Drosophila melanogaster: one gene and its partner. The protein of the gene in region 1 interacts with the protein of each later gene in a pairwise test. Each region holds a gene or a part of one and is shown on either strand. Other genes may lie near its edges.

Region 1 (4,843 bases):
CTATTGCATGCATGCTTGCCGCAATCACGCATTTGCTTGCATTTAGTCTCGCATGCAAACTCTTTGGAGCAGGGCAACTCCTTTTCGTGCAGACCACAACGACACTTCTTTTTGGTTCTTATTGGGCACTGTAAGAAACATATTTCATTAGAGAATCGATTTGCTTCCCTGGTGGCTATCTTACGGAAATGCAAGGTCCACGATGACAACGCTGGGTGCAAGTGTGCTGGCCACAGGACAAAAGTTTTTGGCACGTATCGCCACAGGTTTCCTCTGTCTCATTACAGGGTCTTACCTGGGTCTACAGAATTAGGTAATCATAAATGAATATAAACTTGTAAATAAATATATCACATACATTCTTGCCGCATGGGCAACTCCTGACTTGCAAAGGACACTCTCCATCTCCGCAGGGTCCAGCGTGACACACCTTCTCGCAAATGTGCAAACCACAAGCAAATGGAGCTCCACAAACCTGAAAGAATATTAATGTTGTTTTATGCTTCAGCTTCAAAAGGCTTTTCTTACATTCTGACACTTCCATTTCCGATCGGAGCAGTTGACCATCTTCGACTCCCGCTGGCACTCGCAAGGTTGTAAGCTTTTGCTGGTGCATGGAGGACACTTTCCTGGCTGATGACACACCTGATTACATTTGTGCTTGCCGCAGGCTAGAAGTTCCTTGCACTGGAAAATCATTTTTTTAGTATGGTGGTCAGACAAAATTTCTTAAAACGTTAAGACTTACAGTCTGCTGACACGTCCACTGCTTGTCAATGCACCTCACGGACCTAGGACTAGATTTACCACACAGGCACGAGACCTGCGCCTGCTGCGCACAAGGAGGACATGGCCCCGGATGACATAGCAGCTTGCAATCGTGCCCACACTTCGGTTGCAAAAGCTTTCCGCAGTGCTCTCCGCATGAGTGGGGCACAAGGAAGGGCTGGTTCTCGGGGTTCACCTCCTTGCCGCAGAAGCAGTTGTACTGCGTGGGCTTATCGGCCGGTTGGTAGTCCCTGCGGCACTTGGGGCAGCACCAGTGAAGGGATTTCTGTCGCTTGGGCGGCACAAATTCGCCCAGATGATTGTAGTGGCCCTGGCCGTTCTGCTGCTCTGCCGCCTTTACCTTCATCTGCATCATGCTGTCGTTGGCCCACCGTTGGATGCACTTCAAGTGAAAGAAGCAGTAACAGCTCTCGCAAGACCAAATGGCCTCCACCCGCCGAATGCTTCCGATGCAAATGAGACAGGTTGCCGCTCCCGAGTGTAGAGTGTTTTCCAGAAACGTACTGGTGCGTGCCGCTTCCTTTGAGCTTCCTGCGTTGTCCGACGGTTTGTAGTTCTTGTATAGGAGTTCTGAAAAGATAAAGCACAAAATTTGATGGTTTTCAAATGACACGTCACAAGCATCGGTCGATTTACCCAAAATGTGATTCTCATCCAGTTCGCCTTCATCCTCGGAGCTGGAGGCGTAGGTGTCCACCAGTTTTTGGGCGGCAGCCAAATTTTTAGCTTGCGCTTTATTAAACTTTTCCATTTTTAAGCCGGCGTTTTTGTCTATCAACTGGGAATAAATTCCTGGGGTAGAACCAGGGATGGCTCGTTCTCTGATAACAGCAATTAGGGGATCTAGTTCCGAAAGGTACACATTTGTGTGAGCTTTCAGTTTCCAATTGGGAATTTCATTTAATTCAAAAAAAATACATACATACACATTAATACCTAAATTATCAAACATCCTCTCTGCATATTTTATTGCATTTAATAATTTGGACCAACATTTTGAAGTTTACAATTAATAGGTCAGGTATCTAATGTGGCAGCCCTGGTATTCGATGTTAAACATCTGTTCGTGAGTGCGACACCCTGGAACAGCTTTCACATCATTTGCAACAAAATAAAATAGAGAAAATTAAATATATCCAGACATACCGACTACGATCCGATCCAAGATGAGTTTCCTAAATTACGTGTTTGGCCCCAACCTCTACATGGAATACCGCGGTGTGCCGGAGCCGCAGCGCAAGATGTACGAGGCAGGTGCCGTGGAAAAGTTCGGGGAGCAGATTCTATCGACGGTAAGTGCCCTGCGATCCCATGGGGCAGAATCTGGAGCATATGGTAATGTGGAAAATCGACACTCTCCGTTGCAGCTATCGGTTATGTGGTCCGTGGGCTATTATACTTCTCCGCTGCTCGTCACATTCCTATACCGACGCGGCTACCTGGTGACCGATTCCATACCGACGCTGGCCAAGATCACCACCAGCGTGGGCCTCATCGTCATCCTATCGCTGGTGATGCGCGGCCTGGGGCGCAAGCAATCGCGCTCCTACTCCAACATGATTAAGGCCCTCGTCCGAGCAAAGTCCTCCAAGGCACCAGGAGATGCCAACAGCGAGCTGCGTCGCTTCGACATCGAGTTCAACGCTTGGCCGGTGGACTTTGATGTGAAAGCTCTAACCGGGTGAGTGGGCTACGCCTTTGAAGTGTGCCAGAATAACATCTTCGTTTTCAGTGATACCAAAAAGCCGGTGGTTACGGCTAGAAGGCGGGAGCCCATCCAGCTGGCGACACTGCCCTGTGAGGCCATCGCCTACCTGGCCATAAACACCTTTGGGCTCTCCATGATCTATCCGGGTTCGGTCAAACTACTCCAGAAACTTATGAGTAAGAAAGATATACATATGTGAAGCTGTCTGAAATGTTGTTAAATTGCAATCCGATAAGCCCATAAGATAGACTTCTACATATACTGAACCTAAAATATTTTGCAGGACCCATGCTGATCTCCGGACGCGCCAAGCTCATCGAGGATGACAACGGCATCCGCTACAAGGTTAAGACCATTGACTCGAACGAAATCGATACGTTGTTCATTGACAATCGCCCAAACAACGTGGGAAATGGCAAGACTCTAGTCATTTGCTCCGAGGGCAATGCCGGTTTTTATGAAGTGGGCATTATGGCCACCCCAGTGGCCTTAAAGTATTCCGTTTTGGGCTGGAATCATCCCGGATTTGCCGGCAGCACAGGCACTCCTCATCCCCACCAGGACAAGAACGCCATCGATGCCGTGGTGCAGTTTGCCATCAACAATCTTAGGTTCCCCGTAGAGGATATAATTTTGTATGGCTGGAGCATTGGTGGCTTTAGTACACTATACGCTGCCTCTGTGTATCCGGATGTCAAGGGAGTGGTACTAGACGCCACCTTCGACGATGTGCTCTACTTGGCCGTTCCTCGCATGCCAGCTGCACTGGCGGGCATTGTCAAGGTAGCCATTCGAAACTACTGTAATTTGAACAATGCCGAACTGGCCAACGAGTTCAATGGACCCATATCCTTTATTCGCCGCACTGAGGATGAGATCATTGCAGAGTGAGTGATAACTTTTGCATTTGGGCAGAGGTCTTTCCTAAAACGTAACCCATTGATTTCCATTAGGGACAACCACATTGACACAAACCGCGGAAATTTCTTGGTCTTGTCAGTGCTCAAGCACCGGTATCCCAACATTTTTGGGGCTTCCCAGTTGAATAAGGCCAAGGGGCTGCTGTCTAAGCCCCTGGAACCATACAGTATCCCCGTCGCCGACGAGAAGCTGTGCATGTCGCGCCTGATCACCTACGCCTCTGACGAGGGCAAGTCATTCCCCATGAACATTGGAGCAGATTACTCGGAGGAGGTGCGCAATCTGATGGCTGTGTTCTTGGTGGGTTTATTCGGCAGTTTAAATGGTCTATATATCTAATACTGTTCACCTTTCAGCTGCGCAAGCATTTACGTGACTATAACTCGACGCACTGCACCCAGCTGCCCGGGGAGTTCTTTACCATGCCGTGGGACATACCCACTGAGCAGGGATTTGTGTTCACCTAAGCTCATTCCGCAGGTGATCCACGGCCGTATGCTTAGATTTAGTAAAATGGTTTTTAGTAATTTTTGCCTTCTGACTGCTTATTAAATTATTCTAACTGGGAACAGCCGGGTAGCTGGTGTCTTCTGAACTGGTGTGAAATTATATACAAAATAAATGTCACAAGCTAAACTAGACGCGTCGTCTTGTGGTTAGTTTCTATTTCATGGTACAGCTAAAATTGGAGGGGAGGGGCAGTTCAACACTTAGTTCCTACGAGTTCTTCTTTGATCCACCGAAGCCGGAGAAGCCCATGATGGCGGCCATGTCGTCGGGCATGCCGCCGGACTCGAAGTCCGTGTCCTCGGCCTTGCGCTTCCGCTCTTTTCGCTTCTCCTTGCGGTGTTCCTTGTAGCGATCCTCCTCCTCCTTGGCCTCCCGCAGGCGGCGCTCGAGCTCGTAGTCTTTCTGCTTCTCCTCCATCTTCTTCTTGTTCTGCTGGAAGCGCTCCTTTACCTGGTCGACGGTGCTCCGCTCCACCTTCATGGACATGCCCAGATTGCGCTGGTGCTTCTTGCCATTGATGTGGTCCAGAAAGTTGATGGAATCCTTGACCACGCAGTCGCAAACGTTGCAGTAATAGCCACCGGATTGCGAGGTGGGTGTGTTCTTGTTGATGACAACGCTCTTGCCCAGCTTGCTGTCCAGGTCCACCTTATAGTCGCGTCGCTTGAGGTTCTCCCGCTGTACGGGTTCTGGTGAAAAACAAAAAGACTTTTATTATGTGTGCCTTCCAGGGAATTTAGACACTGACCTTCTTCCTTGGGTGCCACCTGGTTGAGCAGCCGCTCCGCCGCCAGCTTCTCGTACTCGTTCTTGTCCCATTTCCTTCGGTGGTCATCAGGTCGCATCGTCATGGTGGCGCTGGGATGACAATTGCACTAAAATCTATTCGGTAAAAGTAAGGCAATGAAAATTTGT
Region 2 (4,412 bases), on another chromosome or scaffold:
TTATTCAAAATAATTCAGCCACAGCAACAGTTTAAGGCCAATCTGTTCAGCACATTCACACTACGCTCATGATCCCCGTAAACGGAGTACCCGCATCCCATGCCAAGTGCCCATTAAACCGCATATATAAATCACCATTAATTTGACAGTGGATTTTTACATAACTCAGGCCAACAGGTGAAAGCGAAAAGCGCACAGCTGCCGGCGGACAGTGGAGAGATCATGGTGTGTCATGGAAAACTCGCCACTTGCACTCGTGGAAATTGACTGGTCTCCCCGAAGACCCTGCTCCTGCTCCTGCTCCACCGCCTCATCCACCACCTGGAGGAAGAAGGAGGAGGAGGCTGGCATGCAAAATCGAATTGTGTGCTAATATTTGGCCAAAATGCAAAGAGCCCGCGGTTATCGCTGCACCACGAACATGACGAAGTGACTCCAGATGGGGAAGTTTTCAATGCTGCCGCTGCAGTAATAAAAATCATTACTTTCCAGCCCAAATTGGCAAATGTTGGCAGCGGGAGAATGCGAATGCAGGATTTTCGCCTGATCGACATGCAATGTCAGGGAAATTGCTGTCAAATGGGTAAAAGTTGCAGCAACACTATGGAAAAAATCAGCGATTTTGGTGAAAATGATGATGGCAAATTATGAAAGGGAAAAATACTAAAGATACGCATTTAACAATAACTTATTCTAATATTTATTTTCTTGAGCGAACTTAGTGAAATGGGATCTTAAACCTTCGAGGGAGATGCCATAGAAGAAAGCTAACATTGGTATGAAAAAACTGTGCCGTAGCAAAACATGGCTTTTGTTTTAGCCCTAACCGCAGATAGATGTCCCAGCTAAAAGCTTTTCCCGAAAAATTCCGAACGCCGATACCCCCATAACCACCAACACATGACAGGCACAATTTCTCAATTTTATTTAGGAGGCAAGCAAAGAAATCTTTTACTTTCACTGACGACGCACATTCTTGAAGCGCCGCTCGGCCTCCGTGGAGCTGCTCTGGAAATTCTGCATCCAATCCTCATCCGAATATTGATGCCGCCAATGGCACAATTGGGAGTTCAATTCCTTTCGCTGGTTGAGAAACAGTGAGGTGCGTGACTTGGGCACGACTATCATATTGGTCAGATGCATCTGCATGTCGCGGTACAACTGCCCCTTGCGATTGCGTTTGTCCAGCGACTGCTCCCCTCGCAGATGCAGATCGTTGGAGGAATTGATGAGTCTCAGGTCCGAGCTCGACTTAAGGATCAACGATAGATCGGATTGAGAGCGCTTTAAGCCATATGACCCGCTCGTGCAGGGCTCCTCATTCTGATTGATTGGTTTAGGTATCAACTTGCGCAGTTCTTGCACTTCCGCCGCCAAGAAATCCAGGCGTGCCTCAAGTCTGGTCAGTACCTCACTGGGTGTCAGTTCTGAAACGGGAGTGGTCGCCACAATGGGTCCATCGGCAAATCCATCAGTGCGTTGCCTCGCATCCGATGGCAAGAATTGGGGGGAACTGGTTGCCGCATATAGTCCTCTGTTATCACCCACTTGTTCTGCCTCTATATAATGCCCAGGTGGTGTGTGATACTCATTCCGGTGGGTCATTATGTCACTTAATAAGTCTGCTGAAAGTGGCACAATTCGCTTCATTCCGGAGGATTTTACTTTACTTTTAATTTGGAAACAAACTAGTTGAATTATATCTGAATACACATGATATGGCAAAAAAACCTTTGATTTTTGATTGAAAGGGAAATGGACACTGTGCAGTGTTATATATATTAGTTCAGAGAATTGTATGCATAGTTTTTTGGTAATTGTAAATTTGCAGAAGTATATAAAACACGACTAGGTTTATTGTAATACCAAGATTCCCTCCGAAGGTCAAAATTTTTTTAAGTTTTGTAGCTTGTTACTTTAAATTGATTGTTCTACTGCCTATTAGTTGGAATAAGCACCTTTTATAATGTTGTCAAATATTTTCTCAGATAAACAAAATTTGAATGCACACAAGACACTAAGGAAAGTCCGGCAATCCGCATAATTTCAAAGGAGTTCCTTCGAAAAATTGTCAAATGTTGTAGGGTCCTCGGATACCTGGCAACAGAAATGGAGCTCGGAAGAGACTTCATCAAAAGGACGTTAGAATTGTCACGTATGTGAAATAAATAGAAATTATATCCACTCGCTAAGAAATTCCTTCTGAACTCAGAATGCCAATAATCAAGAAGTTCTGCTATTGTTTTAGTCTAAGAATTGGCGCATTTTCAATTGCGTACGCAGGTCTTACAATGGATGTATTAGATACAGTAGCGACTATATATACTAAGTCGCAATATTGCGCTGATATACTACTCCTCTGGATAATTTCCACCATTTGGAATATCATTTCCGCATTGGTTCTTTTGACTGCACTTTTTCGGGTAAGATCAATCTGCCATGATACATTTAGCATCACTAGGTATCTGAGCATCCTTTGTTTCAGGAAAATCCGCATTTGCTGCCAGTTCATCTGGTGACTTCTCTTTGTGGCCTGATGCTCGAAATGACCAATCACATGGTGATTGCCTCCCTTGGCAGAACCGATTACGTTTTGATATCCTATGCGTTCATTATGATTGCCTGTAAGTGATGGCCCCCTCTTGATCACATCTACTTCAAAAAAAAAAAAAAAATCGCCCACAGTTGTATCTGCGGACGTCGTGATCGTGCTGAGCTACTACCAATCGGAGGTTTAGTGAACCACTCCGATTACCCATTAACCCAGGCAACCGACCGGGCGCAGCATGTAGCATTTTGTGGTGCGCGATTAGGCGCGAAAATTTATTTGGAAAATGTTGCGCAATCCGCGCCGTGCATAAATCGTGGCCAATTGTCACCAGCGGATTGGCAACCGAACCTCAGCGACCTGCGTTTAATTATCGCCCCGCCAGCGCCCGCCGAGCTACATGCGTGCTAATTGACCAGGCTGCAGCTCAACGCTGCTCCAATCCGAAATCCGAATACGAATCCGACTCCGACTCCGAATCCCCAGTCCAAGTCCACGTCCCAGTCCCAGTCCCAGTCCCAGTCCAAATGTCCAAATGATAACCGCGACGATGAAAACGCATGCTGAGCCAAATGAAAATTATGTTGCAATGGGGCAGGCGTGCTGCTCGCTGGCTGGTCAGTGAACCGCAGTTTGCACCACCATCCATCCATGGGGCTTAATTAATTTCCTTGATTAATTGAAAGTGCGCCTTGCTCGCAGTATTTTCGTTTTCTGTCTTGCTTTTTTTTTTTTTGTTTATTTCTGGGCCATGGTATGTTTATGTGTATTTTTGGCAGTGCAAAGTTGAAGGCAATAAGAAAAATCGCCCCGGATTCGATTCGGTAGTATGTGATGGGCGTTGCCCTGGCCAACCCTTGGCCATTACTCTTGGCCCGAACCGTACCTTTCCATTTTTCCTCAGCTGGTATTCGATTATGGCCGGAATTATGATCCTTGTTGGTTGGATTCGGTGCAATTACTTCGGGATGCCCTGTAAAATGTAAGCAACTTTTTAAGTTGTTGTTTAAAGCGCTTAAAAAATAAGTCAGTAGAATTACTCTTCGAAATAAAATCTTAAAAAACAATGTCTCTATACAATACCATTCGGGTCATTTTCAACATAAACAATGATCATACATCACCAGCGAATCGGAACCATAATCTTTGACCTTGTCAACCCACTGAGAGCAGCAAGTACATCAAGATAAATTAAGCCTCAATTGTGGATTCAACATCAGGCCAACTAACATCCATCATTCCAGTTTTATGGCCGCACAATAGAACCCGGAATACCCAGCGAGTCAATTTTGCAGCGGCAACTAAGTTGCAATTCAACTTGCAACGTTCACCGAAAATTCACTGATTTCATAAAATATTACGATAAATGTCGCTTTCAACATTTATAAGCCAAAAGGATTTTAATACTTTATTGCTTATAACCGCAAAGCGACAGTAAATGCTCCTACTTTAAGAAACAAAATGCAATCGCATTGAGGCGAATCGAAAATAAGGAAAACAAGAAAAATGAATTGTCTTCATTTTGTAATTTAATGGTATTTTATTGAATTTCTGATGCGAATGGGCAGGGACAAGGCGGATTGCCCCCATCCTTGGGGTATCTGTATCTGTATCGGAATCGGGATCCCATCCCATCCCATCCGATCCGATCTTCCCCAGCCTGTTGACATTTAAAATATGGCCGCGTGTCAATGCGACTGCCCTACGCCCATTTTTAAGTCAGGTTTACATTTCGATTTCGGTTTCGATTTTTAATTCGCAACTCGCCCGAAATCCCAGCGTAAATTCAATTTGAAGGTCCGAAGGAAGGCCTGCAGAAAAATGTGCTTTCACTTGACCCGCAATGCTGCGTAAATAAATTTTA

Evidence for each region.
Region 2: the proteins of CG1309 (region 1) and ms(2)35Ci interact in a two-hybrid assay, tested with the Drosophila melanogaster proteins (one large-scale study listed by BioGRID).

What each region holds. Positions count from the first base shown.
Region 1 is NT_037436.4:4,257,588-4,262,430, forward strand, and holds CG1309 (uncharacterized protein), read left to right. Parts: upstream 1-1,842; 5' UTR 1,843-1,955; coding exon 1,956-2,081; intron 2,082-2,156; coding exon 2,157-2,470; intron 2,471-2,521; coding exon 2,522-2,673; intron 2,674-2,780; coding exon 2,781-3,384; intron 3,385-3,450; coding exon 3,451-3,718; exon of another isoform or gene 3,719-3,774; coding exon 3,775-3,885; 3' UTR 3,886-4,056; downstream 4,057-4,843. Other genes in the region: CG15011 (uncharacterized protein), read right to left, coding at 1-128, 185-301, 359-475, 529-687, 749-1,359, 1,426-1,540; CG11586 (uncharacterized protein), read right to left, coding at 4,136-4,617, 4,677-4,779.
Region 2 is NT_033779.5:15,290,524-15,294,935, forward strand, and holds ms(2)35Ci (male sterile (2) 35Ci), read left to right. Parts: upstream 1-1,944; 5' UTR 1,945-2,155; intron 2,156-2,212; 5' UTR 2,213-2,213; coding exon 2,214-2,423; intron 2,424-2,485; coding exon 2,486-2,624; intron 2,625-2,685; coding exon 2,686-2,738; 3' UTR 2,739-3,613; downstream 3,614-4,412. Other genes in the region: CG15260 (uncharacterized protein), read right to left, coding at 958-1,650.